Arabidopsis thaliana: one gene and its partners. The protein of the gene in region 1 interacts with the protein of each later gene in a pairwise test. Each region holds a gene or a part of one and is shown on either strand. Other genes may lie near its edges.

Region 1 (10,426 bases):
AATAAAAAGTTGTTTGCGTTTTGGTTTGTTATTAATCAATGTTAATTTTAGCTTGTTTTATATAATGAAGCTTCATATAATTGAAATGATTCGATGATCTTTTCAAATCCTTTCTTCTTAATTACACCAATGATCTCTCTATGAGAATATCCACATATATACAGAATTCTATATGTCTAAAGTATTATAAAGGGAAGAATCAGTCATGTGCATGTATGGTTTGTGTATCAAGTGAATTCTGTCATGATCTTGAAACTCCTTCTCCAGAGAAGCTAAGGCTGCTTCATAATCATTATGGTTGTTGATATGTTCCATTGCAAACTCATTCAGATATAATAGACATCCCTTGTCGTTATAAGGGCATATGATTGATTCTTCTTCTTCTAATGATCGTTTCGCAGATGCGAGAGGGATATATAATGATAAGATAAGTGTTACCGAAAGAACGTAGAGAGTAGTACATGGAAGCACAAATCTAGACGTCATGGTGTTTTTAATGCTTTTGAAGATTTCAAAAAAGAGATCAAAGAATATGGCCACAAACAAAATCTGAACAAGATAGATTGTGATTGGACTCTATATATAATAGTCGATGACCAAAACAAAGTCTTTTCCTATTTTTAGTTGGGATCAAGTTGGTTTTTTTGTGGATAAGCTAGTGCTTCATGATCATCGAGTAATAAGTTTTTTTTTTCGTTTCAAGAAAATATGTTTTTTGTGTGGATTTTGTTTCTGATGAAATGATGGAATAGACGTGGCTGCAAGTTTGGATAAGGTGGCTCGGCTCCACTCCGGTTTATCTTTTGTTTACCCAAATATAGATTTGTTTTGTTTTGGTCACTGGTAATATCGAAGTATCGAATACGTCTGTCTGTGATGCTCGTATAAAATAAAACCAGTGGTATGGTTGTAGTGGTTGGTGGATCGTGATTCGTGAACTTTCTCTTAGATTCGGAAATATTCGTCACACTTTGGGCCCACGAGTTTTAGCATTTTCCGAACGTGGTAAAGCCCATGATTTGCTAATACTAGCTTCCAAAGTCGTCACACTACTCCATCCAATCACAAATGAAATGACTAACAAACATTTTAGAATAATCAATATTTTGCGAATAATTTCATTACTGTCTGACATTTGATTCTCTTTAATCACACATCATTACATGATCAAACGTCATCAATAAGAGCTAAGAACGTCGTCGTCTTGTACAAACTTTTGGTTATATCTACACACTACTTTACTACATTCCTCGTGTAGAAGGAAATGGAAAGCGCACAAAAGCGAAGATAACAAAAAGAGTTTGAAATTCAAAAGAGAAGAGCAACACGAAGAATCTTGGAATTCGAGATCCACTATTTCACGGCGGAAAAGATGCATTCGCCTCTTCAGACTCAGCAGCCGGAGCAGCGATGCTGGCCGATGACCTCGACGGTATCGGAGATCGAGGAAGTTCTACCCGATGAGGACTCCGATAGAACGACTCTTCTTAACGGTGAACCGTTACGTCGTCGAGTTTCCGGGAAGTCGCCGGTTGACGAAGGACCTCGTCGGATTTTCCGGCAGCAATCGTTCGGTCGCGATATCGGCCACGCGGCAGCTGAAACGTATCTAATTACTGGACTTAGCTTCAAGCTTCTTCGATACCTCGGGTACTGATCTCGATTGTCCCTGTTTTTGGATTTAGGTATATTGATGATTACGCTTAGGGAGGTAATTCGTGTAGATATTAGCTGGCTTTGCCTTGCTCTGCAAAGAATCCAATGATATATAAAAGTTCTCTGTCTTTTATTTTGGAACTTTACTCTAATTATGAAAGTTACTCCATGTGCTGTTGTTTTGCTCTTGTTTAACTTCTTCTTTTTATATTTCCAGTTGAGCAAGGATTGATCTAATTGTTAAGTTTTGTTCAGGGTAGGCTATCGATGGATGACAAAATTACTTGCCCTTACATGTTATGCTATGCTTCTTATGCCTGGCTTTCTTCAAGGTTTGATTTTTTTTTTTTTTTCTTTGCTGATAAATAAATTCATAGAAAGGATTTTTCCTTTTGATTAAGATGTTGTTTTAATTGGAAAATTAGTCTTTGATTCCTCGTCTCAAGTTTGTATTATCTTGTGCAGTTGCATATAGTTATTTTTTCTCAAAGCAAGTCCGGAGGAGTATAGTGTATGGAGATCAACCAAGGAACAGGTTTGTGTGTGAACTGAATAGAATCTTACCTTCTCCTTTCACATCGGCCTTAAGTGGTATGTTGAATGCCTGCTTTTATCACATCACCTTTGTCTTGAGATTATTGATGTATGAACGGTGATTTGATAGGCTGGATCTGTACTTGCCAAGCAACAACGATGGCTTGAAGCCGGTTGTGGTTTTTGTGACGGGTGGAGCTTGGATTATTGGGTGGGTTGCACATCAGATTTACAGCATTCTCTTCTGCATAATGTTGAAATTTGTTTGTTTTACAATTTCTCGTGTCCCACTTATAGAAGTTTTCCCCTTCACTGTTCTTTTGTTGATGTTTGAGTTACAAAAAGAAAAAAGTAAAGATCATGATGGGCTCTGTATTCTTATCTCACTGACTCACTCAAGTTTCATCTTCTTGTACTAGCTGGTTGCTTGTTAATAAGTTCATGTTTGCTAATCTTGTACTGATATTTAGGTACAAAGCTTGGGGCTCGCTCTTGGGAATGCAGCTAGCAGAAAGAGATATCATTGTAGCATGCCTTGACTACAGGTAAACAAATTACACAATTCAAAAAACTAGTCGTCTTTTATGAATATAGGAAGAACTTTCATGCATTTACCAAGCAATCCGTTCTTTATGGTATAGGAACTTTCCTCAGGGAACAATTAGTGATATGGTGACTGATGCTTCTCAAGGAATCTCATTTGTCTGCAATAACATCTCTGCATTTGGAGGTGACCCCAACAGGTTTCATCTCATTGGCTTTGTTTTTATTTACCATTTGATCTTCCAATTGGTCTCTCGGCTATTAAACTGCATGTATCTGCTTGTCTCTCTAGGATCTACCTGATGGGGCAATCAGCTGGTGCCCATATAGCCGCTTGTGCTCTATTGGAACAAGCTACTAAAGAATTAAAAGGAGAGAGCATCTCCTGGACAGTGTCCCAGATAAAAGCTTATTTTGGATTATCTGGAGGGTATCTTCTAAGCTTTTGGATTCCCGTTGGCTTCTATGTGCTTTTTGGTCTACAGCAATTGATCTGCTTATCATTTTGAACTTCAATAGGTACAATCTATACAAGTTGGTTGATCACTTCCATAATCGGGGTCTGTATCGCTCGATTTTCCTAAGGTAAATGCTTGGTTAACCAAATCCTAAACGCAGTCTGATCAGATCTAATGTTCAACTCCAACTTGCAGCATAATGGAAGGAGAAGAGTCCTTTGAGAAATTCTCTCCGGAAGTAAGACTGAAAGACCCAGTTGTTGGAAAAGCTGCTTCTCTTTTACCTCCTATTATACTTTTCCACGGATCCTCAGATTATTCCATACCATGCGATGAAAGGTATATATGATCATCTTCTTGAAGTGATACATTACTGATGAAACCTTTTGGGATACTAAAACCACCTCGTTTGCAGCAAAACTTTTACAGACGCTCTGCAAGCTGTTGGAGCAAAAGCCGAGCTTGTTTTATACAGCGGAAAGACACATACTGACTTATTTCTTCAGGTAAGCCACATAAATCAGTCAACTTACCTTACATTGTGTCACACACACAAACACTTAGCTCAGTGTGAGTACAATAAAACTCATGAGAGTATTGTTTATAGGATCCCTTACGAGGAGGTAAAGACGAACTCTTTGATGACATAGTCTCTGTGATACATGCGGAGGACAATGATGGGCTGACCAAAGACTCGTTGGCTCCTCCCAGAAAGCGTCTTGTACCAGAGTTGTTACTGAAACTGGCTCGTGAGATTAGCCCTTTCTGACTGCCAAGAAAGGAAAACAAGCTTTGTTTGTTGATCCTCAGTTTTTACCTTTGTTAGTTGCTGTGTTTTTAATTGCATCAGTAGAACATCATGTAAATAAAAACAAACTTTGTTGCTCCACCAAATTTATTTGACCCATGTAGATTTGAACACATGAATATGATTACTTCCACAAGTTTGAAATCTAATAAAAGCTAGTAAAGATAATATCGAGTTTTATCATATTCTCAAAAAGGTGATTGAGATGTGACAAACACTTGATAGACTTATACATGTTTTGTAACTATGAAATATGATGGTGATCATAAGCAAATTGGACTTGTATAAACAGACCACAGGTGATGTTGATATAACTATCGTTATTCACCTTAATTTGGACCCACCATTTGCTTCAACTTGTGGCTCCTAATCTCTAGAGACTCGTAGCGACTTGGCAGATTCCAATTGGCTCCTTGGATCTCCACCGTTGGCCAAATCAGCTTGACCGACTTGATGTGGAAGGAAACAAAGTTAGGACATGCCATATCTATTATCTCCAACATATCACCAAAAAAGACACCTAGCATCATTCGAAGATAACAAATGGTTAAGAGTCATAATCTTTTTAACAATGCTAAACAGTGATCATTTAATTTTTATAATTGAAATCATGAGACGATGAGAGAAACCTGAACAGTTAGAACATGGCAAAAGTTAAGAATCAAGATAAACATTAGGCTAATGGTCAAGCCAAAGAGCTACTAAAGTTTCCAGCTTTACCAAAATAGTAGTAGATGATACAAAAATAGTTAGAAGTTGCACGTTTCAGAACCTAGGTAACATGTGGATGGGTCCTATAGAAGATTACATAGGAAGAGGTGTTTACACTTATTGAGGAAGAAAGAGAGAAAAAGTAGTAACTATTGGTGCCATTGCAAAGATATAAGAAGACAATTAGTTTTTTTCTTTCTTTCACATTTCGTGCTGGTTGATGATTCCAAAGCTGTAAGCATCTCTGCACTGGACCCCTTCTCAAAAACTCAGCCAGCCACAAGATGATCACTCAACATCAAACCCACAAACTTCTCGCCACGTGTCCAGCCCTCAGAATTCTATCCTTCCTTTCCATTTCCATTCAACAACTAATATAGCCTTCTTAGTCCCCTGCTGCCTTTACATACGATCTCACTCACCATCAAACAACTACAACATCTGCGGTTAGTATGTTGAAAGTAGAGAGTAACTGGGCACAAGCCTGTGATACATGCCGATCAGCCGCCTGCACCGTGTACTGCCGGGCTGATTCTGCCTACTTGTGCTCCAGTTGTGATGCTCAAGTTCATGCTGCCAATCGTCTTGCTTCCCGCCATGAACGTGTTCGAGTCTGTCAATCATGTGAGCGAGCCCCGGCTGCCTTTTTCTGCAAGGCAGATGCTGCATCTCTATGCACAACCTGTGATTCAGAGATTCATTCCGCAAACCCACTTGCTAGACGCCATCAACGAGTTCCAATTCTGCCCATTTCTGAGTACTCTTACAGTTCCACGGCCACTAACCATTCATGTGAGACAACAGTGACAGATCCAGAGAACAGACTTGTGCTTGGTCAAGAAGAAGAGGATGAAGATGAAGCAGAGGCGGCTTCATGGTTGTTGCCTAATTCAGGGAAAAACAGTGGTAACAACAATGGCTTCTCGATTGGGGATGAGTTTCTGAACCTTGTTGATTATAGTTCGAGTGATAAGCAATTCACAGATCAATCCAATCAGTATCAACTAGACTGCAACGTACCTCAGAGGAGCTATGGGGAAGATGGAGTTGTTCCACTTCAAATTGAAGTATCAAAGGGCATGTACCAAGAGCAACAGAACTTTCAGCTGAGTATCAACTGTGGCTCCTGGGGAGCTCTTCGAAGCTCCAATGGTTCCCTCAGTCATATGGTAAGCTTTCATATATTTAATTCAGATCCGTTACTATGACCAGCATGCTGCTTCTTTCACACAAATCCATGAAGTAAATTTCTAAGAATGTCTTTGTTACTGTCATTAGGTGAATGTTTCATCTATGGACCTGGGAGTTGTGCCGGAGTCAACAACGAGTGACGCAACAGTATCAAACCCAAGATCGCCCAAAGCGGTAACAGACCAACCACCTTACCCTCCAGCTCAGATGCTCAGTCCAAGGGACAGAGAAGCTAGAGTCCTGAGATACAGAGAGAAGAAGAAGATGAGGAAATTTGAGAAGACGATAAGATATGCTTCAAGGAAAGCGTATGCAGAGAAAAGACCACGGATCAAGGGCCGGTTTGCAAAGAAGAAAGATGTCGATGAAGAGGCAAACCAAGCTTTCTCCACAATGATAACATTTGACACCGGATATGGAATTGTTCCATCATTCTGATGCTGCTATGGCAAAACTAGACTGCATGCTTGTAAATTACTTCTGGTTTGAAATTCCTGCAAGTTATTACCACGGTTTTATGCATATAGGGTCTGTAGTTTACTAGTTTTGCCTAACTAGTACGAGTTAATTAGATATACACTCATACTTAGCTGCTGTAAGTTAATACAAATTTTGCCCACTTGGTAGAAGTCCTCTTATCTATGAAATACTGCCCTACAGTCTAAATTCAAACTGATGCTACAAAGAGATATGCATTAGTATAGCTAGCTGTACCAAGAACAGTCAACACGTAACTCACCTTGCCTAAGTTCAAAGTTAATGATTCCTTTCTTGGTGACACTTTCCACATCACTTTATCACGTAGAAGATAAATGATTCCACTTATGCCGCCCCAAAGACAATTTCGCACATCCCTGAGAAAAGAAAGTTGTACTCAATATGATTTTATACCAAAAGTAGATTACAGAGACAAGTGTAAACATGTAAAACTCCAATAAAATCACACACTGAATAGTCAGGTAACAAATAACCAAGAATCCTGAGTGAACAATGCTAATAGGTACAATTACATCAACGCATATTCTTGTACTGATTAGTGATTAGCATTGGTGCTAAATCCATTCCCACGAGGTTGTCTCGGATAACAAGATTCTATCACTCACAACCACTACTAGCAGAATATGTCAATGCCTATGGACCATCCAAATGAACAAAGATATTCAGTGTGAGAAATCTATTTCTTGGTCTATCTTTTAGAATAATAGCTCACTTTTTCCAAGGTATATACTGGCACTAAAGAATAACGACGCAACCAAAAGAAAAAGGGTGACACTGTAAAGCCTTCACTTTTTGCCACCTGGAAAGGGCCAGAGATCAACTTATTTACCACTAGGATAGCTTCCCACTTCAACGGTTAAGCTGATGAATTCATGTACCAAATCAATACTTTTTAGCCATAAATGAGTCAGTTTTAGTATCCACATGAATTTACCTACCAGAGTGTTGTAAATTATGTTCTTTTGGGGCCACTTACATGGATCTCATTCATTCACTGCAGCGAGTTCTCAGACCACCAGAAAATTTATTCAGTGATCTGTTTTGATCATGCAACATAAACTTATAAGCCACACAAGCAAAACAAAGATATCCCATGTTGCATATAATACGAGCTAGCATATCATAAAGAAGGAAACTTGAAGTAGCAAAGTTTCTACTAAATTTCTTGTCAGGAATTTTTAAAATGCAATGACAACCACTTGGAGCACTATGAGTTTCAGAGCCAATAGAATGTTACTATTTGGTGTGGATTCGAGCTAGCACGTGAAAGTGCATAAAAGTGATTACCTTTTGCCAAAGGTCACTGCACTTTTCCTCAGATAGTTTCTCACAGCCATGGAAAGTGGAGAATCCGCATAAACGTACAATTACAAGCTTTATATGGTCCCTCGACTCTTATTCTCTTCTCAGTCTTTGCAACTAAATAGGGTTTTCGTTAATCTGAAAGAAGCAAAGTATTCGAAACCACGGAAACCTGATAAAGAATGAAAACAAATAAGCAATAGTGTTTTCTTGAAAATCTCGATGCAACTTTGAGGATATTGTTACATATGATCTATTACTCGTAACAGTTATCCGAAGGCCTACACATGTGAGAGAAGTTCCAAACCGCTACAACAATAAACTTAATTAGAGACTGTCAACGAGCAATAATAAGCAAAACTACTTTTTTCTTGAGCTACAAGTGAAAAGGCCAATACACAATTTACTCTTCATGAACTCGAACCACGTTACAATCTCCAAAAAATTTCATCACCAAAGCACTAAAAGCCAAAGATGCCTCAACTTATCCAACTTGGCAGGATAAAGATCTCCAAAAATGCTTACTAAAGAACCTAGAATCTTTTCTTTAGAATTCAATGATCATATAACCATTTCATAACAATTCTAAATGCCATTACATTCATCGTAAAACCAGTAAATAACAAGAACTTGTATGTTAAGTTCCAATTACCAAGCAAAAAAAAACTTTTCAAAGTTTAAAGTTCAAAATGGGAAAGAGAAGTGCGGTGTAAGCAAATATGAAAGAGGAAGAGATGCGAAAAGTGTATCCTAGGACCAGCATTTTATACAAAAAAAAAACACTCACTTTTCAGCTCTTAAGGCATAGAGTGAAGGTAGCCATATGAATTTGGCCACTAGAGCGTCCGTCAAATCTCATTCTTTTTGGACCACATAATGGGTATCATACATTCACTGGACCCAAAAGCGTAACTGGAGCTAGTCCTCAAACCTAGAGAGTATCGTATCCTGTAGCTTCCACATAGTAAACATTATGAGCATAACACCAACAAGGCAACTCCAAGTACTAATGGTTATTAGTACAGGAAAACCCACGATGCTAAACACATGAATGGGTCACCAAATAGAGTGAAGATGGTTAAATTGCATCTATGGATCATGTGGACTAGTAAATGAGTGTAGCAGAAAACTTCACAATTACCTCTGTGATCTTAGAAACATGTCCTGAAAATTCCATACAAGTGTCGTTTGTATTAGATTACTTCCACAGGTTGAGATCTAATAAAGCTACAATAAATAGTATAGAGTATCATCATAAACCCAAATTACAGAGATGTGACAACACTCATGAGTCATGTTTTGTAACTACTTACTATAATGGTTACCAAGTGCAAATTTCTACATACTATATATGATAAATCTAATTATTGCTCATGTGGACTCCAAAATGCCTTTTAAGTTTTAACTTGTGCGTCAGGTAAATTCTAATTTGTAGTCTCAAGACTACTTGGCGGATTCGAGTTTGATCCTAGAAAATCCACCGTCTCTATGTTTTTCATGTCACTTTTCCGATATGATTCTCATTACCATGACTTTATGAACCAGATTAAACATTATAACACTTTTCATCAGAAAATCCTTCGAAAGTTTCAATTGCAAATCTTTCTAAATGATGCAGATGCATTCACAAATAATGGAACAACAACTATACCATATTCACGAGTTTGTCTAACCTTTGTATAGGTAGTCAACCCATAACAGTTGGTGATGGCTCTGACACTCGAAGCCTTACTCGGAGAGATACCTGAACAGTAATCACAAGGTTCAGGATGAATATTCAACCACTTAAACTTTGTATAAAGCCAAAGAGATAAAACGAATCTAGCTTTACTTTAAATAAAATGCATATGAAAATAGTAAAAGGTGATACGAAAAAATAGTAACAATTTGCCTGCAACACCATGGCATTATCCGGACCACTTCCTCTTGAGAATCTCAGTATGGCAAGTGGCAAAACCTAAGCAACTTGTGAACGGGTCCCAACGAAGAAGTGCATAGGAGGAGATGTTTACACTTTACACTTTACACTTTACACTTTACACATAGGCCTTCCCAAAAGCTCAACTAGCTGCAAGAGGATCCAATAACATGTAAGAGCCACTAACGCTGTGCCACGTGTAGGCACTCAGGATTCGATCTCCCCTCTACTTATTCTCTCACACCAGATATAAGCTTTATTAGCCCCTTCTTTCAGATACCAGCTCCCACACCATCAAACTTACTACATCTGAGTTATTATGTTGAAACAAGAGAGTAACGACATAGGTAGTGGAGAGAACAACAGGGCACGACCCTGTGACACATGCCGGTCAAACGCCTGCACCGTGTATTGCCATGCAGATTCTGCCTACTTGTGCATGAGCTGTGATGCTCAAGTTCACTCTGCCAATCGCGTTGCTTCCCGCCATAAACGTGTCCGGGTCTGCGAGTCATGTGAGCGTGCTCCGGCTGCTTTTTTGTGTGAGGCAGATGATGCCTCTCTATGCACAGCCTGTGATTCAGAGGTTCATTCTGCAAACCCACTTGCTAGACGCCATCAGCGAGTTCCAATTCTACCAATTTCTGGAAACTCTTTCAGCTCCATGACCACTACTCACCACCAAAGCGAGAAAACAATGACCGATCCAGAGAAGAGACTGGTGGTGGATCAAGAGGAAGGTGAAGAAGGTGATAAGGATGCCAAGGAGGTTGCTTCGTGGCTGTTCCCTAATTCAGACAAAAATAA
Region 2 (10,426 bases), on another chromosome or scaffold:
TACGTTTCATTGAGTGAAACTCGGTATACAAACTTAATCACACCATGAAAATAGACTACTCTCCACACACAAAAAAAATGTACCAGTAAGGAAATTTGAACACATACGTATGACATCCAACCATATCATGATACTTCTTTATCATCAAGTCGGGTAAGCCCTATTTCGCCTGATTTGGCTCTCATCTCAAAATTTCTCCGACCTTTTTCTGGACGAGTCGTCTCGTCTTCTTTCCCTTTTTGTAACCTCATTGCAAGTTTGCAACAACAAAAACAATCCAATGATTACTTCATTGCATGGTTTAAACAAAAACAATCCAATAATATATATACATATTTTATCAATAAAGTATATTTATAAGTTAGGTTGATTTTTTTAATATATTTTTTTTTTATTTTTTTATTTTATATTATTTACTAAGACATTCTATTTTGGTTTAAAAACTTTAGAACTAAATGGTGATGATTTAAAAGTTAAATGGAGTGATTTAAAAGTAAACAAATGTTTCTTTAGTATCAAACTTTGTTAATTTTTAGGTCATAATCAAATTGAATGACATTAAAGAAAAATCTAACCATTTAATATACATATATACACATAATGGAAATTGTTAATTTGGTGATAATAAGAGAAGTTAAAAATACATGATTTGGTAACTCTATATATTTGAAAAAAATTTAAATGTGTTTGGTAAATGACTAAATGGTTTAAAGAGAATGAGGATAAAGAAAAATGTGTTTGACAAATTGATAGTTATAACAAAATAATTAAATAGTAAAAAAGCTGAGAGAAAAAATGTGGGATTGTCACATAAGCACTAAAAACTTTTAATATATAAAGGACACATAGTATATTGTTAATTAAGAAAAATTTGGTTTTGGTATAACTTAATGAAATATGATAGATTTGATCATGAATGTGGACTAACTTATATCTTTCCTAACCTATATATTAGGACAGACTAACTTATATACATATATAAGTTTATTCAATCAATACTAGTTTTAATTTCCTCCTATACACTCATAACGTTTTTGTTTTCAGCATTGTGGGCACAGAAAAAGTAGAACCATTTTGTGCACTTTCGAGAACAGCTTTTGTCATCTAATGCCATAATTCAAATTCTTTGTCTCTCTTCTCTCTCAATTATTTTAAGTCTTCTCGATCTTTTCAACACTCACATCTTTTAAAGTTCACCACTTTCACTTCCCAAATTCCCAAAAACAGAACTAAAAAATGAAGATCCAAATACTCTGTTTCACCACTCTGTTCTTAGCTATCTTCACCTCTCAAGTCACCACTGCTTACAAATTCAAATTCGATTACTTTGGTAACGGCACCGATCCAATATCATTCCATGGAGACGCTGAGTATGGTCCTGACACTGATGGCAAGAGCCGGTCCGGAGCCATCGCATTGACTCGAGACAACATTCCTTTCTCTCATGGTCGAGCCATTTTCACCACTCCAATCACTTTCAAGCCTAATGCTTCAGCTCTTTACCCTTTTAAAACCTCTTTCACTTTCTCCATTACTCCTAAAACAAACCCTAATCAAGGTCATGGCCTTGCTTTCATCGTCGTCCCAAGTAACCAAAACGACGCCGGTTCCGGTTTAGGCTATCTCAGTCTTCTGAACCGAACCAATAACGGTAATCCTAATAACCACCTCTTTGCCGTTGAGTTCGATGTCTTTCAAGACAAATCTCTTGGCGACATGAACGATAACCATGTCGGAATCGATATTAATTCGGTTGATTCGGTGGTTTCTGTGAAATCCGGTTATTGGGTTATGACAAGAAGCGGTTGGTTATTTAAGGATTTGAAGCTAAGTAGTGGAGATAGATACAAGGCTTGGATTGAGTACAACAACAATTATAAAGTAGTCTCTGTTACGATTGGTTTAGCGCATTTGAAGAAACCGAACCGGCCATTGATTGAAGCAAAATTCGATCTTTCCAAGGTCATACACGAGGTAATGTATACCGGTTTTGCTGGTTCGATGGGTCGTGGTGTCGAGCGTCACGAGATTTGGGACTGGACTTTCCAGAATTAAGAAAACAGGTTTGGTTTGGTTCGAGATCATCGGTTTTCTTTTGGTTTATGTTTCTGGTTTACCCTGGTGTGCCTTCAGCTTGTGATAATTGAAGTGAAATAATTGCTCATTTTATGTCTTACCGACAATTTGATGTATTATTGTTGTCAGATTAGTAGAAATCAAGGACGTTTCGTTCCTAATCTTTTATGTTAGTCACTTTTAAATTACATTTCTCGTTGACAAAAAAAGAAAAAATGATTTTACATTCTATCAAAATTGGCCAACATGACTAGATGAGAATCAGATTTATAGGAGAAATGTGGAGATCGTAGTTATGGGACTATCAAAATAGTCTAAAACATCTTAACATGTTTACCGGAAAAAAAGAGTCTACTACCAACTATGTTGTTTTGTGGAAGACTTTTAAAGAGGAAATGTTACATGCCAAGTGGATTATAACACTCCATGATGCGACTTGGAAAATGAGAGATCTAGGAACGAAGGAAAGGAGGACTTGATGAATTGTCGGAAAGTTGTCTCGTTTCTTTCAGATTATGTTGTAAAAGTGTGATAGAGATGAATGCTCTTTGAGATTATATATCGTGGTTGTATATACGCTCTTTCTCATATCTATTTCGTATTCTCCCTCTTTCAGTGAGATATTTTTTTAGTGTTTTTGCTTTATCCAATTGAAGAGTGTGTCCTCGTTGTCGAGGCTTGGACAGACAGCATCTCATAATTTTACCTACGACGATGTGATTTGACTACAATCATCAATCTGCTAGAATAGAATTTGACGTGTTTTTGGTGGAGGATCGTGCTAGGCAAAGGTGACCATGCGACAAGCGAAAGGAATCATTGATCTAGGACCTCCAAAGTTTTCGGCCTCATCAACAAAACAATAATCTAAAAATGGACCCTTTGCAATATAACAAAGCCTTCATGAACTCTAATTTTTTAAAATGTTTTGTCATTTCTTTGATAACTAGTCCAAAAAATACCAGAACAATCTTTTCTTGCGTTTGGACTCCTTAAATATCAAGACCGGCTCTAGTGGAAATATAATTAGTAGTAAGGATTAGATAAATTTTCTTATGAGTTATTGTGTTTATTCGACTTTAATGATAAACTAGATGAGTACCCGCACTACGTGCGGGTTTATGTATTACTATTTACAAATTGTTTTATATAATGTTTGTTCATATAACATAAAGTAAAGTTGAATGCATCGGTTTTGAAACATAAATATGATTTGTAATTGTTTTTGAAAAGTCCAACTATATTAGTTCATATGAAAAACGAATATGCTTGAGTTGTTTTTTTTTATTGTTGTTCTAGATTCTCAGTTTTTTTAAAATTTATATATCCTTGTTTTTTTTGTTATATGTTTAGATTGTGGGACGGTGAAATTTTAGAAAATTTGTTTCTTATACTAAAAATATAACATGTCTTTATTAACCATGTCTTTGCATATTAAATCTAATCATATTTAACTTGATGTTCTTGGAAAGTTTAGTTAAGTTCTTGTCATAATCTTATATCTTACATATTAGTTATAAGGATAGCTCCTCAAACATCTTTCAAAATACTTGTTTCTTAGCATAATTCTCGAAAAGCTTAGATATATTTAATCTGCATATTCATTTAGTTTCTTTCATAATAATCGTCTAATTTTTAGGCAAGGAATATGTGTAACATGTTTGGATTTTATGATCACTTTAACCACTCAAGTAGATCTCAAAATTAAAGAGGATATATTGAATTAAAAAAAATATAAAAACTGTGATGGTTCAAGTTCTGATTAATTATATCCTCTTATTTTAGTTGTTATGTTAAATTATTACTAATTATTTATTACTAATTATTTATTACTTATTTTATGAAGTTTATGTGGCAAACTCTATGTGCTAATGTGTAAAGTCGTGAGAGAGAGTTAACAATCCTTTCGATTCATAATAATTGTTTTGTTCTTTAGTTTTTTTTTTCCATCCATCTTGAATTCAGAAATCAATGGTTTATCACTAAAAAATAGTCTTTTTCGTGTGCCCAGTTGGCGCTATCATATTTGACCTCTATATATGTTTGAAAAGTCATAGTTGAAGTTCACTGGCTTTCGTCACACTATATATTACAGCACTACTTCCACTTCCATAACACCAAAAACAAAAACATACACACGTAAACAACAAACGCATAATGCAGATCCACAAACTCTGTATTTTTGTTCTGTTCATATCTTTGTTAAGCTCTAAAACCATTTCCGCCGTCAAATTCAACTTCAACCGTTTCGACGGAACAAATCTAATCTTCATCGGGTACGCCGAGCTAGGACCAGCAACCGATGGCATGAGCCGGTCCGGAGCTCTCTCCATGACCCGTGACAACATTCCATTCTCACATGGTCAAGGTCTCTACACAGATCCAATCCCATTCAAATCTTCCAACAACACATCTTCTTCTGTTTACTCTTTCAAAACATCTTTCACTTTCTCCATCACTCCTCGACGGTCAAACCCTAACCCTGGTCATGGTATCGCCTTCATCGTGGTCCCAACCGTAGCCTACGAGTACGACCAAGACTCAACCCGCGGCTTCCTCGGTCTAGTTAACCTCACAACCAATGGCAATCCTAATAACCATCTCTTTGCGGTCGAATTCGATGTTTTCCAAGACAAACGTTTTGGTGATATTAATGATAATCATGTTGGTGTTAATATTAACTCTGTTAACTCAAAGGTTTCTGAGAAAGCTGGGTATTGGATTCAGACAAGAACTAGAGGGAAGAATCAATGGTTGTTTAAGGAAGTGAAGCTTAGTAGCGGAGACAACTACAAAGCTTGGATTGAGTATAAGAACAGTAAAGTCATTGTTTGGCTTGCACCTGCGCATTTAAAGAAACCGAAGAGGCCATTGATCGAAACACAAGTTGATCTCTCGGAGGTGGTTCTTGAGACTATGTATACCGGCTTTTCCGGTTCGATGGGTCGTGGCGTCGAGCGTCACGACATTTGGAGCTGGAGTTTTGAGAACACCGCCAAAAACAATTAGTTCTGATTTTGGTCTTGTTTGGTTTGATTTATGTTTGTTACCGGTTTAACAATTATGTATTTTCTCTTGATTTTTATTCAAAAGTGGTTAAAAAGAGAGTACGTATAAAATGTCAAAATCAAATTTAAAATTACTTTGATCGATTAAACCATTAAAAAAAATCCTGAGAAGAAAACATGCACACTGTCCCGGACCATCACCGTCAATGATCTTCTTGGACATGCATCATTGATTTTGTATAAATAAAGACTCGTTAAAAGCCAAAGCACAACCACGTGGTATTGTGGTCATCGTCCTCATCAAATTGAATCAGTTTGTTCATGTCACAAGTTTCTTAACATAAGTTTTTAAAAGATATTACTAAAATTTAAAACTAAAATATTGACAAATCCACGATATATAAGGTTAAAGCTATCACAGTTTCTAGGTCGTATCATTTTCTACAAAAATCTTGCATTACATTTCAGATGGTTTGGTTTCAATAAAAAAACAGAGTTTTTTTTTTTTTTTCATTGATAAATTTGTGTATGTAATCTAATCATAGAAAAAGAAAAAACACGTGGCGTGTCCGGACGCATGTGATTTTGTAATTTACCACTTACGTTGTCGACTTGTCTCAATCCATTCCATGGAAATGGAAACTCCCCTCTGGTTATTAAATGCTCCCACCAATACATTCTCTTTCCTTTCACCAAAACCAATAATACAAACAATTTTGTTTTTCTCATTCAAGATTTTCAAAGTACAATCATTTCTTTAGGTACTTTCTCTTGTAATAAGGCTTCAAATATGTTATTCAAAAATTATTTTGGTCATTTTAAATTCCTATTATAGCCTTACAAAAATGTGTTATATTATTTGGACCACAACATAATTTAAACATTCCTCTTGAAGAAAATTGGTCACTTCAAAAAAGAACAAAATTCACTTTGACCTCATGGTTTACTTATATTTACATATATGGCCCAAAACCAAAATACGAAAAAGGTTTTAGCTTTACGTTCTTTTGATTCCTAGGTCGTCGTTTAACCACGTTGCTTGCGTGGAAAGAGAAGAGAAGTGAAGATTATCAAAAAGCGAAAAATAAAACCCTCACTGTGAAGTAAAAATCGTAGGCCCAAAATAGATTTCTCTTAGCCGAGAATTTAATTTTTATGAATCTGATTATTGCTTTTCTACGAACTCAGTTTTTGCGATGTGTGGTTCTCAAAAAAGGATCGTTTCTTCGGTGCCTCTTAGTCTCTCAAGTACTTCTTCTTCTTCTTATCTTCTTCTTCGCTTTTCTTTTATATATAGAGAGAGTTTAGTGGTCAAGAAGCTTCCTCGTGTTTGTCTCTTTATGTAATCAAAGGTTGCATTTTTATTCGAATATATTTTCTGGTTTTGGTGTTTTCTGTCAAAGGGTCTTTTAAAAATCTTAACTTTCGTTCTAAATTTCTTTACTTTATTTCGATTCTAACTTAGGGCTTTTGGGCTGGGATCATGAAATGAAGTATTGCAGAATCCAGAGGAGTTTGTTTGGTAATCAATGAAGGGTTCTTCAGAATCTAGTTCCAGAGGATTAAACAACACCTCTGGTGTTTCAGAGTTTTGTACAGATGGTTCTAAGTCTTTGTCTCACATTGATTATGTCAGAAGCTTACTTGGTTCACATAAAGAAGCTAACTTGGGAGGACTTGATGATGACTCTATTGTCAGAGCTTTGGAATGTGAGGATGTTAGCTTGCGTCAGTGGTTAGACAATCCAGACCGATCCGTTGATGCCTTTGAGTGTTTTCATGTTTTCAGACAGATTGTTGAGATTGTTAATGCAGCTCACTCTCAAGGCATTGTTGTTCATAATGTTAGGCCTTCTTGTTTCGTTATGTCTTCGTTTAACAATGTTTCGTTTATCGAATCCGCTTCTTGTTCGGATTCCGGGTCTGATGAGGATGCAACAACAAAGTCTCGAGAGATTGGTAGCTCGAGACAAGAGGAGATTCTATCAGAGAGACGAAGCAAACAACAAGAGGAAGTAAAGAAGCAACCTTTCCCTATGAAACAGATATTAGCAATGGAGATGAGTTGGTATACAAGTCATGAAGAAGATAATGGTTCTCTGTGTAATTGTGCTTCTGATATTTACCGTCTTGGTGTTCTTCTCTTTGAGGTTTGTGCGTAAGAAGATTTGATTTTTGTTCTTAACTGCTTTGTTTTCTTGAGAAAACTGATTTGATGAATGTTAGTCTTTGTGCAGCTATTCTGCCCTGTCTCCTCAAGAGAAGAGAAGTCAAGAACTATGTCTAGTTTAAGACATCGTGTTCTTCCCCCTCAGATATTACTCAATTGGCCTAAAGAAGCTTCCTTTTGCTTGTGGTTACTGCATCCTGAGCCTAGCTGTCGACCATCGATGAGGTGATGATTGATTCTCTCTTTGATGTTTTTAGTTTCAATTGGAAAAGTTTTGTCCTTTAATTAAGAGTATTGTCTCCTTTGTCTTTACTTTTGCAGTGAGTTGCTACAAAGTGAGTTTATCAACGAACCTAGAGAGAATTTGGAAGAACGTGAAGCTGCAATGGAGCTACGGGATAGAATCGAGGAACAAGAGTTATTACTCGAGTTCTTGTTTCTGATTCAACAGAGGAAACAAGAAGCTGCAGACAAATTGCAGGATACAATATCGCTTCTCTCTTCTGATATCGATCAAGTCGTAAAGCGACAGTTGGTTTTACAGCAAAAAGGGAGAGATGTCCGTTCGTTCTTAGCCTCAAGAAAACGGATTAGACAAGGAGCTGAGACCACTGCAGCAGAGGAAGAAAATGATGATAATAGCATTGATGAGGAATCTAAGCTTGATGATACTCTAGAAAGTACACTTCTTGAAAGCTCTAGATTAATGAGAAATTTGAAGAAACTGGAATCAGTCTACTTTGCAACACGATACAGACAAATCAAGGCTGCTACTGCTGCTGAAAAACCGTTGGCTAGATATTATTCGGCATTGAGTTGTAACGGTAGAAGTTCAGAAAAGAGTTCAATGAGCCAACCATCAAAAGATCCTATCAATGATTCTAGACAAGGCGGGTGGATCGATCCATTCCTCGAGGGTTTGTGCAAGTATTTGTCTTTTAGTAAGCTAAGAGTGAAAGCAGATTTGAAGCAAGGAGACTTGTTGAACTCGTCTAACCTTGTTTGCGCAATTGGGTTTGATCGTGATGGAGAGTTTTTCGCCACGGCAGGCGTCAACAAAAAGATCAAGATATTCGAATGCGAGTCGATAATAAAAGATGGCCGGGACATTCATTACCCTGTTGTGGAACTTGCTAGCCGGTCTAAGCTTAGTGGTATATGTTGGAACAGTTACATTAAGAGCCAAGTCGCATCAAGTAACTTTGAAGGCGTGGTTCAAGTAAGTTCAGAAGAAAACTCTCAACCTTATTAATCAATGAAAAGTATGAAAAAAAATCTTATAACTAAGGCTAATATTTTCATAGGTTTGGGATGTTGCAAGAAACCAGTTGGTTACAGAGATGAAGGAGCATGAGAAGCGTGTATGGTCCATCGATTATTCATCAGCAGATCCAACATTGTTAGCTAGTGGTAGTGATGATGGTTCGGTTAAGCTCTGGAGTATCAATCAGGCAAACTTCGAAACTAAACCAAAACGTATTTATGCTCGGAAATGCGAGAATAGTTCTTTTGAGGGATGTGTTTTTAACGGTTGAGTTCGTTTTCCTCTGTTTCAGGGGGTTAGTATTGGAACCATCAAGACAAAGGCAAACATATGTTGTGTTCAGTTTCCATCAGAGACGGGTCGGTCTTTAGCATTTGGCTCAGCAGATCACAAAGTTTACTACTATGATCTAAGGAACCCCAAGCTTCCTCTTTGCACAATGATTGGTCACCACAAGACCGTGAGTTATGTTAGATTTGTAGATTCATCAACACTTGTTTCTTCTTCGACGGATAACACGCTGAAGCTATGGGACTTATCAATGTCTATTTCCGGTATTAATGAAACGCCTCTTCACTCATTCATGGGACACACTAATGTTAAGGTATATTTTTTTCGAGATTCGTTTCTATTGCTTCATTTCAAGTTTGCTTTATGAGATTACAAATACATTTCTGTTCTTGCATTGTGTGTAGAACTTTGTTGGATTATCAGTCTCTGACGGGTATATAGCAACAGGCTCTGAGACTAACGAGGTATGTCTACTCTCACTTCATAAATATACAAAAGAAGAACTGTTGATCCCATTTGTCAATAAAAACCGTGAATTTCGTGTGCTTCACTGGACAGGTTTTTGTGTACCACAAGGCATTTCCAATGCCGGTTTTGTCGTACAAGTTCAAAACTATAGACCCTGTGTCGGAACTCGAAGTAGACGATGCCTCGCAGTTCATATCCTCAGTCTGCTGGCGGGGACAGTCGTCGACCTTAGTTGCTGCAAACTCCACCGGCAATATCAAGATTTTGGAGATGGTATGAACCAATATAAAGTGGCTCAGAAGCAAAATGGTAATATTCCAGGGTTTGGATTGGTATAGGAAACAATTTTTGGGAGAGAAAGTAGGAAAAGTGAAAACAATATTGTTGCTACTAAAGAATTGTGTATATAGAAAAAATATATGATATCTTTCTATTTGTTGTATAGTACTTATTGTAAACCCTAATGACACAGGTGGGCAACTTAACATACAAGTAATAATTATTTACTTCAAAAGAATTATACAATCAAGCTGTGGTGTGTATAGAACTGCAAGATTCTCTCCAAGCTGCTTGATTCTTTATACACATTGATTCTTACCTAATTTAGCCTCTGTAACTAACCTATCTACAAGCTCCTTGAGCCTCACAGCCCCTGAGCTAGGCCTGATCCTAGCCACATCTTCGACAACCGAGCACTCTGGTTTCCCACCGCACCAACCGCCTGGAGTAAAACCGTCTTCGTTTATCCGTATAAGCAGTTCCTTATCAATCTTATCCAAAACAGTATCATTTCTTCTGAACTTCCGACCAAATGCAGATCCGCTCGAAATCATCTTTCCCATGTCTCTTTGAGACAACATACGAGGATGCTGCCTCGGTGGCTTGTCCCATGCGATGTAGTGAAGATCATGGTTCACCGCGGTTTTGGAGAACTCAGGCACGTTACATATGACTGTATGGAAGTAACCTTCAGGAGAAGAAACGAAATTGGTGTAGTACATGAGTAAAGTTCTTGGTAAATTGTCCCAACCGTATATGATATACTCCACGAATGCGTGCGATAGAGCCATCCAAGCTGATCCTACACAAAACAAAAAAGTTTCAAGCTAACAAGAACAGAGTAAAATATGTTTTTAAACCAGGATTAGA
Region 3 (10,426 bases), on another chromosome or scaffold:
TGACAATTCCTCTATTTCATTGACACTTGATCATCTGAATCTATAAAAACCGACAATAGTTTAAGAAAAAAAAAAAAAACATCAATCATACTTCTCTCTCCATGTATAAACGAGGAAGAAAACCCATGAGACAGCTAAAGCAATATCTCCAAGGGCTTGCTTGGGACATTCAAAAGCAAGATCTTCAATCTTCCACTCAAACATAACTCTCCATAAAGCCATAACCATATAGAGAATCACAGAACCAGCTGCAAAGAAGCTATGAAACTCTCTGTCTTTCACAAACGACACCATGAAAAGCACCAATCCGATAGCAAAGAGAAGCAAACCAGAGAATGACTGAGAAATCTGAATAAGCTGCTCGTCGTGAGGTGTTGATCCTTTGAGCTTGTTTGCTATATCACTACCATGTCCAAAGATCGAAGCTTTCTCTGTGTAGAACATCATCAGAGTTCCACTTGTGAGTGCGATAATCGAATGGAGTATACAGATTACGCGGAAGAGATATGAATTCATCGGACCTTTGTTGATTCCAATAGAAAGAATCTGACTTTTTTGCTGGGTTTTCGAAGAATCACCTGAAAATATCGAGAAAAGGTCAAAAACAGATGGAACCAAACAAAAAAACGCATATTATTCAAAGTTTCAAACTTTACAGATAGAGAAGGTTCAAACCTGAGGAAGCTGTGATGTTTAAGCTTTTGCAAGAGCAAATGTTTTGAATAGAGAGATTATATGATTTCAGGGATTTTGAATTCCACAAGAGAACTTCTGGGAATTGTTTATGGATAAACCCTAATTTTGTCTTGTTGCAAAAGAAGATATTTGACTTGATCTCGGTCCTCTTTTGGCAGCTTCTCCTCTTTCTTCAACAGAAATTCAAACCCACCGTATAAAGATTGGTTTCCGATTATAAGTGGGAGAGATTATAAACAAATTTATAGTTGAGAGAAACAATTGTCAATATAATTTAAAACAAATTTATACCAATAATATCATCTGTTTAGCAAACTTATCCAAGACTTTTGGTAAAAATATTAATCAGTGGAAAGCAATCATCAAAAGACACAAGGAAAGTTTTGTGATTTTAATTAATATTAAGGATAATGACTTTTCCCATCATACAAGAGAATCAATGAACATATCCTTTTTGTGACAAACTAACATTGTTCTACTTCTTCTACTTAACTTAAGGTTTGTCCTCTAAAGCCACCAACGATCTGATAACGCCAGGAGAAATACCATCAGCAAGAGCCCCTAGTTCCGATATAAACAGAGCTTTTTCCTTCACTAAGCTCTGTAACTTCTTCGATTCAAACTCCATTTTCTCTTCATCTTCACATAGTAACAAGTAGGCCGTTTTCTCATGAGGAAACTGCACTAGTCTCTAAATGAGAGTAGCAAATAAATGTAAACAAAGATGATACCTTTCTCTAGCATTGTATGCACAGCATGAAACGGAATTGCAGCAAAAAGATCAGCTCCTGGGAGCATCATCCAGGTGGGTTCACTAGAGTCATGGGATCCACATGTGGAGCAAACTTCTTGGACCAAAGGTTTCGTTGAGCTCCCATGGATATCCTTCATCATAGAATCAAATGGAGACATAACACTAGTCTTTGTTGTCCGAGCTCTCTTCCTTAGTGCTGTAAGAGCCTCTCGGTTTGCATTCCTCTCCTTGTCATTCTCCACCATCTATTACACATATTACAAGCTCCATTTTGGTTAAAAAAACTTATTGACCTAACAACAATACATATCATATAATATCTGTTTTCTCACAAGACAAAATAAGTTGCAGACAACAATAGATTGAAAAATCTTGTGCTTTCCTCAATCTGTCAATCACATATAAATTACGAAGTAGTGAATATTTCCAACTAGATACTACCAAAGCAGATTCCCGAGTACCTGATTTCGAGCTAATAGAAACTCATCAGCTTCAGCTTCAATTTTGTCCAATAGTGCAGCAAACTTCTTTGGATCCAAATCCATCTCTAGTCTAACAGATTCCAACAAACAAATAGGCTCAGAATCAAATAAAGCATTATTGGTTGAAGGGGAAAAAGGAAAAGATTTGATAAGTGGTATAGTCAATCTTCCTAATCCTGTACATCTCCATGTTAACCTACATCTTCATGCACAAATCAAACCACAACGAAGCCAGAAAAAAAGTGAAGCTATGGATACTTTGTTTGCTTAAGCTCAATTTCAAAGACTCTAATTAGTACCATAAGCCACTCCATGTTTTCGTTGTATGTATGTACCAACATCATACTAAACCTTTCACCATCGTTTCAGCTTCTATTCTATAGAGTGATTATTGAATTCCCAAATTTTTCAATATTGATACGATTAATGATTTCATCCAATTTCAGAGAAACGATTATAGAAATTAACAATTCTGATAAACCCTAAATGGTTAAAACCCTGAATTCCGAAACCCTAAAACCTAATTCACAAAATCTCTCGTTCCTACGATGCAATAACGAAGGCAACCACAACACCAACAAAAGTGTAAAACGATTCTTTAATTCATTTTTGCAGCATCTTAACAAGAGGGCGAGACGAAGTAACTCAGAAACAAAATAATAACCTTTAAATGGATTTACAGACGAAGATTTAATAAGCAGAGGTCCGGTGAGAATCTCGGTGACGCAATGAGAGGGACGAAGTTTATTAACAATATAAATTACATTAAACCCCCGAGTTGAGTTATGGGCTAGGTATTTGGGCTATAAAAGGCCCGGCCCACTAATCATACCATTGAAAGGTGCGATCGTTCCCGCCGTCGTATCGTAGCACAAGAAAATGTAAATTTTATTTATTTGGTATTTAAAAATATACCTATTTAATAATTTGAGATGATAAAGTCATAAAACAGAGTAACTTTTTTGCATCCAAAAACGAGTTCGTGATATCAACTAAGCTTGTCAATGTGTTTTTTTGTACACGAGACATTAAAATTCACAATGTTTCGTAGAGAAGGGGACAAGAAACACATAATATAATCAACCAATTATTATTACTCGAATCCATTATAATATTTTTTCAAAAGGATAAGATTTTGTTCATTGAAAGACATCTGGGTGGGTCCATTTCACTGCTAAGCCCCTTGTGGTGGCGTCTCCAACGCATCCACTTGGCATTGTTTATTTGACCACTTTTTCGAATCATAGATTTTGAATATTCAAGCTCGATGGCTTATGTTAACTCTTATATAAACATATTATCAACCTCCAAATATTTTCATCATCAATCTTCTCCACACTTGAATCACAAACAACAACAAAAGAAACACAATGCAGATTCACAAACTCTGTTTTCTTGCTCTGTTCTTAGCTAATGCAGCTTTTGCCGTCAAATTCAACTTCGATTCCTTCGATGGCAGCAACTTGTTATTCCTTGGAGACGCTGAGCTTGGTCCTTCCTCTGATGGCGTAAGCCGATCCGGAGCTCTTTCCATGACCCGAGACGAAACCCCATTCTCTCATGGTCAGGGTCTTTACATCAATCCAATCCAATTCAAATCTTCAAACACTTCTTCTCCTTTTGATTTTAAAACTTCTTTCACTTTCTCCATCACTCCTCGCACCAAACCTAATTCTGGTCAAGGCCTTGCCTTCGTCATTGTCCCAGCCGCTGATAACTCCGGCGCTTCCGGCGGAGGATATCTCGGAATCCTCAACAAAACCAACGATGGAAAGTCAGAAAACAACCTCATATTTATCGAATTCGACACGTTTAAGAACAATGAGTCTAATGACATTAGTGGTAACCATGTCGGAATCAACATCAACTCGATGACTTCTCTTGTCGCTGAGAAAGCTGGTTATTGGGTTCAGACATTAGTCGGAAAAAGAAAAGTTTGGTCGTTTAAAGATGTGAATCTTAGCAGTGGAGAGAGGTTCAAGGCTTGGATCGAGTTCAGAAGCAAAGACTCTAGGAATACCATTACCATCGCCCCTGAAAACGTTAAGAAACCGAAGAGGCCTTTGATCCAAGGTTCGAGAGTACTCAATGATGTTCTTCTTCAAAACATGTACGCTGGTTTTGCTGGTTCCATGGGACGTGCCGGTGAGCGTCACGATGTTTGGAGCTGGTCGTTTGAAAACTAAGTAAACCGGTTCGGTTCGGTTCAGTTTGGCTAGGTATCGTTTGCTTTGTTTTTGTAATTGTTGTAGAGTGAATAATTAAGGTATGAATAAAATAAGCCGACCTGTGGCTTACTCTGCATTGTATTTTCATATTTGTGTAATCAGTCTGAATAATTCAGAGGTTTTCAATAAAATAAACTTCCTTTCCAAATTCTTTTTTTTTAGTAACTGGATTTGCATGATTTGCAAGGTAGGAGATTGTATTAAGCTCTATACAACATCAGTAGCTCTAGACGTCGTCTTATTGTATTTGTCATGGATAGTTGGATACATACATGTTTCTATCGATTGAAGATGATAAAATAAAAGGAGCAAATTATTGCATCCACGCAATGAAAACGGTTTATATTTAAATAAACGGAGGATAATTTAGCTTTGTTTGTTTTCTTCACGGAATAAAATATAAAATATATCTTCCCATGCAGAAGATTATAAACGTGGAATGTCTTAGATTTATACACGAAATATGAATTAAACAAATGTTTCATTTAAGATAGGGGACACGAATTACAAGTAGTAGAATCGATTATTATTCGACTTCAATAATCAAGAATATCGTTTTTTTATCCCCAATCGGATAGATAAACACACTAGATAGGTCAATTTTGTTGGAGACTCTGGTGGCGTTTGTAACGCACCCACTTGGCGTTATTGAAATGACGCTTCGAATGAAATAATTGTTCTGCCGTAAAACAATTTCAAACTCGATGTCTTACAGTGACGAAATGACGATTCACAAAACTCTGTAATCTTGCTTTTTGACACCAATTCTTCTCTCAAATTTAACTTCGAAACCATGCCTGGATAGTCTCAACAAAACCGACAATGGCATTCTCAAAACCCAACATCTTAGCTGTCAAATATGATCGCATTGGAGACATGTTGGTCTGACATTTAGTTTTGTTATGGAGATCGCTCTTAAGTTTTTTCTTGAAAACATGTCCACGGTCCACCGGTTTTGCTAGTATCATGGCACATTTGAGTTGGTCGTTCGAGAAACAGCGCCAAGAACAGCTAAACCTAAACCGGTCCAATCCAGTTTAGGTATTGTCTCAGAGACTGGTAACCGGAGCCAAATCTTTATTTAGTTTTAAATATGCCTTATTGTTTTGCTTTTGCATTTGTTAATTGGGTTTATAGGAGACTCAAGAGAGGACTACATGCTTTGAACTTTAGTGATTCACTCCTCTTAAAAGGATCTGGTCTTTATTTTTGTTTTTGTTTTCATAAGAACCTCAATTATGTACCCAGAATTAGTTGCTGTTCTGTTGGGAAGAAATAAAGGAGCCTAAAACAAAAAAAAATGTTTCTTAATTCCAGAGCAAAAGTTTGAAGATTTGACCCTCAATGTTTGTCTAAATTTATACATTTGGCACAAAAAAAGGTCATTCCTTTTACGTTCTGTTATTTGTGAGGTCGAAGATTAACCACGTTGCTTGCGTGTAAAGAGAGGGTGGGTGATTATCAATATTGAAAAAAAAACTGAACTGAGAGATATATTATATAAATATATTAAAGAACGATTTCGACAGTGAATCGTTTCTTTCAGCAGTCGTTTTTTTGTTTTTATTCTAAAAGGCCGAGAATTTATGAGGCTGAGAGAGAGAGCCTTCTTCTGCTTTTTTTTCCGAGTTTAAAACTGTGTTTGGTGTTTGTTTGTTGTGTGGCTCTGTTTCAATCTCGTAAAGATTATTTCTGGGTGGCCTCTCTCCTTTAGATACTTCTTATCTTCTCCCTCTCACTAATTTTGCGGTAAAGAAGCTTCCTTTCTTTTTTTTGGCTCTTTACATGATCAAAAGATTTGCATTTTTTCTTGTATATATTTTTATCTTTTGAGTGTTGTTGTTCTTAAATGGGTCTCCTAGGTTCTTGAGTTTTCTTCTGTTTATAGCCTAGGGTTTGTTTCTTGAGTGGGATCACTTAAAAAAGGGGCTTTACATTGTGAGAGTCTAAGTTCTTGGCGAATGTGTAACGATCTTTAAGCAATGAGCTGTTGAATCCGAAATGATTCCAGTTAGAGTTGGGAATACAGAGAAGTCATTGGTTACGTGTTGGTTTCTGGTTAGCTTTTGGTGGATGTTAAATGGAAGGTTCTTCAAATTCTAACTCTAGGGGATTCAATACCTCTGGTGTTTCAGATAGGAACACTGAGTTCTTACCTGTTGAGAGACTCACTACTCGTTCCAAGCCTTCCTCTCATGTTGATGAGTATGTCAGAAGCTTGTTTGGTAGTACTAGCACACACAAGTCTGGTGAAGATGATTCTTTAGGGATTGATCCTTTTGTTAGATCCTTGGAATGGGGTGATGTTAGTTTGAGACAGTGGCTGGATAAACCTGAACGATCTGTTGATGTTTTCGAGTGCTTGCACGTTTTCAGACAAATTGTTGAGATTGTGAATGCGGCTCACTCTCAAGGCATTGTTGTTCATAATGTCAGGCCATCATGTTTTGTCATGTCTTCGTTTAACCATGTTTCGTTCATTGAATCTGCTTCTTGTTCGGACTCTGGCTCTGATTCCTTGGAGGATGGTCCAATTAGCCAGAAGGAAATCGGTAGCTCGAGAAGAGAGGAAGCTGTATCGAAAGCTATTGCAATAGAAGAGAAAGGAGTCTACAATAAGTTGTTGGAGAGAAAAATCGAGAAACTAGAGGAAGAAAAAACCCAACCTTTTCCGATGAAACATATATTAGCAATGGAGACAAGTTGGTACACAAGCCCTGAAGAGGATTTTGGTTCTTCAAGTACTTGTGCTTCAGATGTTTACCGCCTTGGCGTTCTTCTTTTCGAGGTTTGTGATAAAGAAAGAAACATTGTTTCTAACAAATTAGTAACTGCTTTTGGATTCAAAGTTTCTGTTTTTGTTTTGCGTGTTTATTTTCTTGAAAAGGTGATGAGATGAAAGTTAGTCCCTTTGCAGCTATTTTGCCCTGTACCTTCAAGAGAAGAGAAGTCTAGAACTATGTCTAGTCTTAGACATCGCGTTCTTCCGCCTCAGATATTGCTCAAATGTCCAAAAGAAGCTTCTTTCTGCTTGTGGTTACTGCATCCTGAGCCAACTTGTCGACCATCAATGAGGTTTACATATTGTCTTATACTTCATGTTCTTAGGTTGAGCATTGTTAGTCTCTGTCATCTTTTACTACATGGAACTAATGGGGAATTTGTCTTTTATGGTGCAGTGACTTGCTGCAAAGCGAGTTTATAACTGAACCTAGAGATAATTTGGAAGAACGTGAAGCAGCAATCGAGCTTCGGGACAGAATCGAGGAACAGGAGTCGTTACTCGAGTTCTTGTTACTGATTCAACAGAGGAAGCAAGAATCTGCGTATAGATTGCAGGATACTGTTTCACTTCTTTCTTCTGACATTGAGCAAGTTGTAAAGAGACAGTTAATTTTGAAGAAAAGGGGAAGCTCACTCTCTGATTTCAGTAAAGATGATCATCAATATACCTCTGGTCAGCCATTGATGAGTTTCCAGGCAAACGAGGAGCCATCAGCATTCTTGGCCTCAAGAAAACGGGTTAGACAAGGGATTCTGGCATTGGAAAACGGTGTTGAAGTTGATGAAGAGAGTCAAGGAAGCACACTTCTTGAAAGCTCCCGGTTGATGAGAAACTTCAAGAAACTAGAATCGGTCTACTTTCTGACAAGGCGCAGGCAAATGAAGGCTGCTGCTTCAGGGAAATCATTAACTAGACATTCGCCGTTAAGTAGTGAAAATGGAAGAGGTTCTATGATTGTCTCAGAGAAAAGTTCAGTAAGCAACCCGGTGGCACCCAAAGCTTTCTTCAATAATGACTCGAGACAAGGGGGGTGGATAGATCCTTTCCTTGAGGGTTTGTGCAGATATTTATCATTCAGTCAGCTAAGAGTGAAAGCTGATTTGAAACAAGGAGATTTGTTGAACTCTTCTAACCTCGTTTGCGCTCTTGCGTTTGACCGAGAAGGAGAATTATTCGCCACTGCGGGAGTCAACAAGAAAATCAAGATATTCGAATGTAACTCCATAGTAAACGATAACCGGGATATTCACTATCCGGTGGTGGAATTGGCTGGTCGGTCAAAGCTAAGTAGTTTATGTTGGAACAGCTACATAAAGAGCCAAATTGCATCAAGTAACTTTGATGGTGTTGTTCAGGTTAGTTTTACATTCAGCTCTAGCGTTATTAAAAACTTCCAGTTTCATAAAACCAATTTGGGATACATATGTTTTTGTTTTCAGATATGGGATGTTGCAAGAAGCCAGTTGGTTACAGAGATGAAGGAGCACAAGAAGCGAGTATGGTCCATCGATATTTCATCAGCAGACCCGACTTTGCTGGCTAGCGGAAGCGATGATGGAACCGTTAAGCTCTGGAGTATCAATCAGGCAATTCTAATTTGAAATGTCGGCTATTGAAAACTGAAACTGATTTCTACAATAATGCAAACATCTTCATTCTCAGAATGTATGATTAAGAGTTTGTTTTTCTTGGAAATGTTTTCAGGGAGTTAGCATTGGGACCATCAAGACAAAGGCCAATGTATGCTGTGTCCAGTTTCCATCAGACTCCGGACGGTCTCTAGCATTTGGTTCTGCAGATCATAAAGTGTATTACTACGATCTTCGAAACCCCAAGATTCCTCTGTGCACAATGATTGGTCATAGCAAGACAGTGAGTTATGTCAAGTTTGTAGATTCATCCACTCTTGTGTCCTCTTCTACTGATAACACACTGAAGCTTTGGGACTTGTCGATGTCTGCTTCTGGGATTAATGAATCCCCTCTTCACTCATTCACTGGACACACTAATTTAAAGGTAACATTTTACCCTGAAATATGCTTTCAAGACTCTCTTCGGTCTCCGGTTTCTGAGATGTAATGTTCTTGTGATGTGTTGCAGAACTTTGTTGGCTTATCGGTCTCTGATGGGTATATAGCAACAGGCTCAGAGACTAACGAGGTAAAGGCTTGATACAGAAAGAAAAATGAACTTTCTGACAGATTGTCTCCTAAAAACTTGATTATCTGAGCTTCTTGTTGTTGTGAATCTATTACAGGTTTTCGTGTACCACAAGGCATTCCCAATGCCAGTGATGTCGTACATGTTCAACAACACTGACTCTATGTCTGGTCTCGAAGTGGACGATGCATCACAGTTCATATCTTCAATCTGCTGGCGAGGACAGTCGTCTACGTTAGTCGCTGCTAACTCCAATGGCAACATAAAAATTCTGGAGATGATGACTTGAGCCTCTCATAGATCTCTTGTTCTTCTTCTCCGCAAGAGATATGCTCTGCTGGAGTGATTGATATAGGGTAAACCATTTTTACCAAAAAAAAAAAAAGATAGGAAAGTGGAAACATTGTGTATAGAATTTCTATTGAGAAAAAAAAAAGAAGAGAGGATACAAATATTGGATCTTTGTATTTGTATATTCTGTTATAACTGAAAACATCTCAATAAAAAAAGGTTATAATTTTATTGGATTTTGAAGGAGATGACTTCAAACAAACAAAAATGAATCCCAGTAGGTCGTGGCATTACAAGGCATCTCTACTCAATGCAAACAATGTCTAATAGTCTTATCTAAAGCCTGCAACTGCAAGATTCTCTATATGTTGTATAAATATATATATCATGACAGTCGCTCTCCATTACTTCGATAATGGTTCTTTTTTTCTTCGAATTCTTTCTATTTACACTGACTAACTCCTGTATTAGCTTCGTTGACTAACCTGGTCACAAGTCCTTGAAGCCTCTGAGCTCCAAAGCTAGGAACAATCTTAGCCACATTACCGACCCTGGAGCATTTTGGTTTCCCACTGCACCATCCACCAGGAGTAAAACTATCTTTATCATTCCTCCGTTTAAGTAATTCCTTATCGATCTTATTAAGTACTTCATCATCTCTTCTGAATTTCCTAGCAAACGCAGCACCGCTCCATATCATCGGCATTGTGTCGTTGAGTGACAACACGTGTGGGTGCTGCTGCGGCGGATTGTCCCAGGAAATGTAGTGTAGGTCATGGTTTACTGCAGTTTTTGCAAACTCAGGCACGTTGCAAATCACGGTCTGGAAGTAACCTTCGGGCGATGAAACGAAGTTGGTGTAATACATTAGGAGAGTTCGTGGTAAATTGTCCCATCCCCATATGCAATACTCTACAAACGGGCGTGATAGAGCCATCCAAGCTGATCCTGTGACAACAACAGTAACGAAAAAATATTTCAAGCTTTGATGCATATGACTAGAGTTTTGGTCTTATAGATATACAACAGC

The links.
Region 2: the proteins of COL1 (region 1) and SPA4 interact in binary tests that used the Arabidopsis thaliana proteins (3 or more experiments, as listed by UniProt).
Region 3: the proteins of COL1 (region 1) and SPA3 interact in binary tests that used the Arabidopsis thaliana proteins (3 or more experiments, as listed by UniProt).

Annotation. Positions count from the first base shown.
Region 1 is NC_003076.8:5,172,210-5,182,635, reverse strand, and holds COL1 (CONSTANS-like 1), read left to right. Parts: upstream 1-4,738; 5' UTR 4,739-5,162; coding exon 5,163-5,879; exon of another isoform or gene 5,880-5,988; coding exon 5,989-6,339; 3' UTR 6,340-6,545; downstream 6,546-10,426. Other genes in the region: PCME (prenylcysteine methylesterase), read left to right, coding at 1,373-1,650, 1,912-1,988, 2,122-2,191, 2,321-2,401, 2,661-2,735, 2,832-2,933, 3,026-3,163, 3,253-3,318 and 3 more; AT5G15853 (uncharacterized protein), read right to left, coding at 4,329-4,529; CO (B-box type zinc finger protein with CCT domain-containing protein), read left to right, coding at 9,939-10,426; AT5G15843 (uncharacterized protein), read right to left, coding at 10,254-10,407. UniProt on the Arabidopsis thaliana protein: Putative transcription factor that may be involved in the light input to the circadian clock but does not affect flowering time.
Region 2 is NC_003070.9:19,777,135-19,787,560, forward strand, and holds SPA4 (SPA1-related 4), read left to right. Parts: upstream 1-6,050; 5' UTR 6,051-6,436; exon of another isoform or gene 6,437-6,549; 5' UTR 6,550-6,613; coding exon 6,614-7,234; intron 7,235-7,310; exon of another isoform or gene 7,311-7,321; coding exon 7,322-7,479; intron 7,480-7,575; coding exon 7,576-8,473; intron 8,474-8,558; coding exon 8,559-8,705; coding exon of another isoform or gene 8,706-8,730; intron 8,731-8,810; coding exon 8,811-9,122; intron 9,123-9,213; coding exon 9,214-9,273; intron 9,274-9,367; coding exon 9,368-9,556; 3' UTR 9,557-9,768; downstream 9,769-10,426. Other genes in the region: AT1G53070 (Legume lectin family protein), read left to right, coding at 1,237-2,055; AT1G53080 (Legume lectin family protein), read left to right, coding at 4,234-5,085; AT1G53100 (Core-2/I-branching beta-1,6-N-acetylglucosaminyltransferase family protein), read right to left, coding at 9,856-10,352. UniProt on the Arabidopsis thaliana protein: Repressor of photomorphogenesis in the light. Probably part of the COP1/SPA E3 ubiquitin-protein ligase complex.
Region 3 is NC_003074.8:5,168,295-5,178,720, reverse strand, and holds SPA3 (SPA1-related 3), read left to right. Parts: upstream 1-5,615; 5' UTR 5,616-6,240; coding exon 6,241-6,948; intron 6,949-7,046; exon of another isoform or gene 7,047-7,077; coding exon 7,078-7,235; intron 7,236-7,339; coding exon 7,340-8,300; intron 8,301-8,384; coding exon 8,385-8,531; coding exon of another isoform or gene 8,532-8,546; exon of another isoform or gene 8,547-8,649; coding exon 8,650-8,961; intron 8,962-9,045; coding exon 9,046-9,105; intron 9,106-9,202; coding exon 9,203-9,394; 3' UTR 9,395-9,626; downstream 9,627-10,426. Other genes in the region: AT3G15358 (uncharacterized protein), read right to left, coding at 82-516; AT3G15351 (P53/DNA damage-regulated protein), read right to left, coding at 1,190-1,335, 1,428-1,695, 1,912-1,995; AT3G15356 (Legume lectin family protein), read left to right, coding at 3,303-4,118; AT3G15359 (uncharacterized protein), read right to left, coding at 4,940-5,128; AT3G15350 (Core-2/I-branching beta-1,6-N-acetylglucosaminyltransferase family protein), read right to left, coding at 9,839-10,344. UniProt on the Arabidopsis thaliana protein: Repressor of photomorphogenesis in the light. Probably part of the COP1/SPA E3 ubiquitin-protein ligase complex.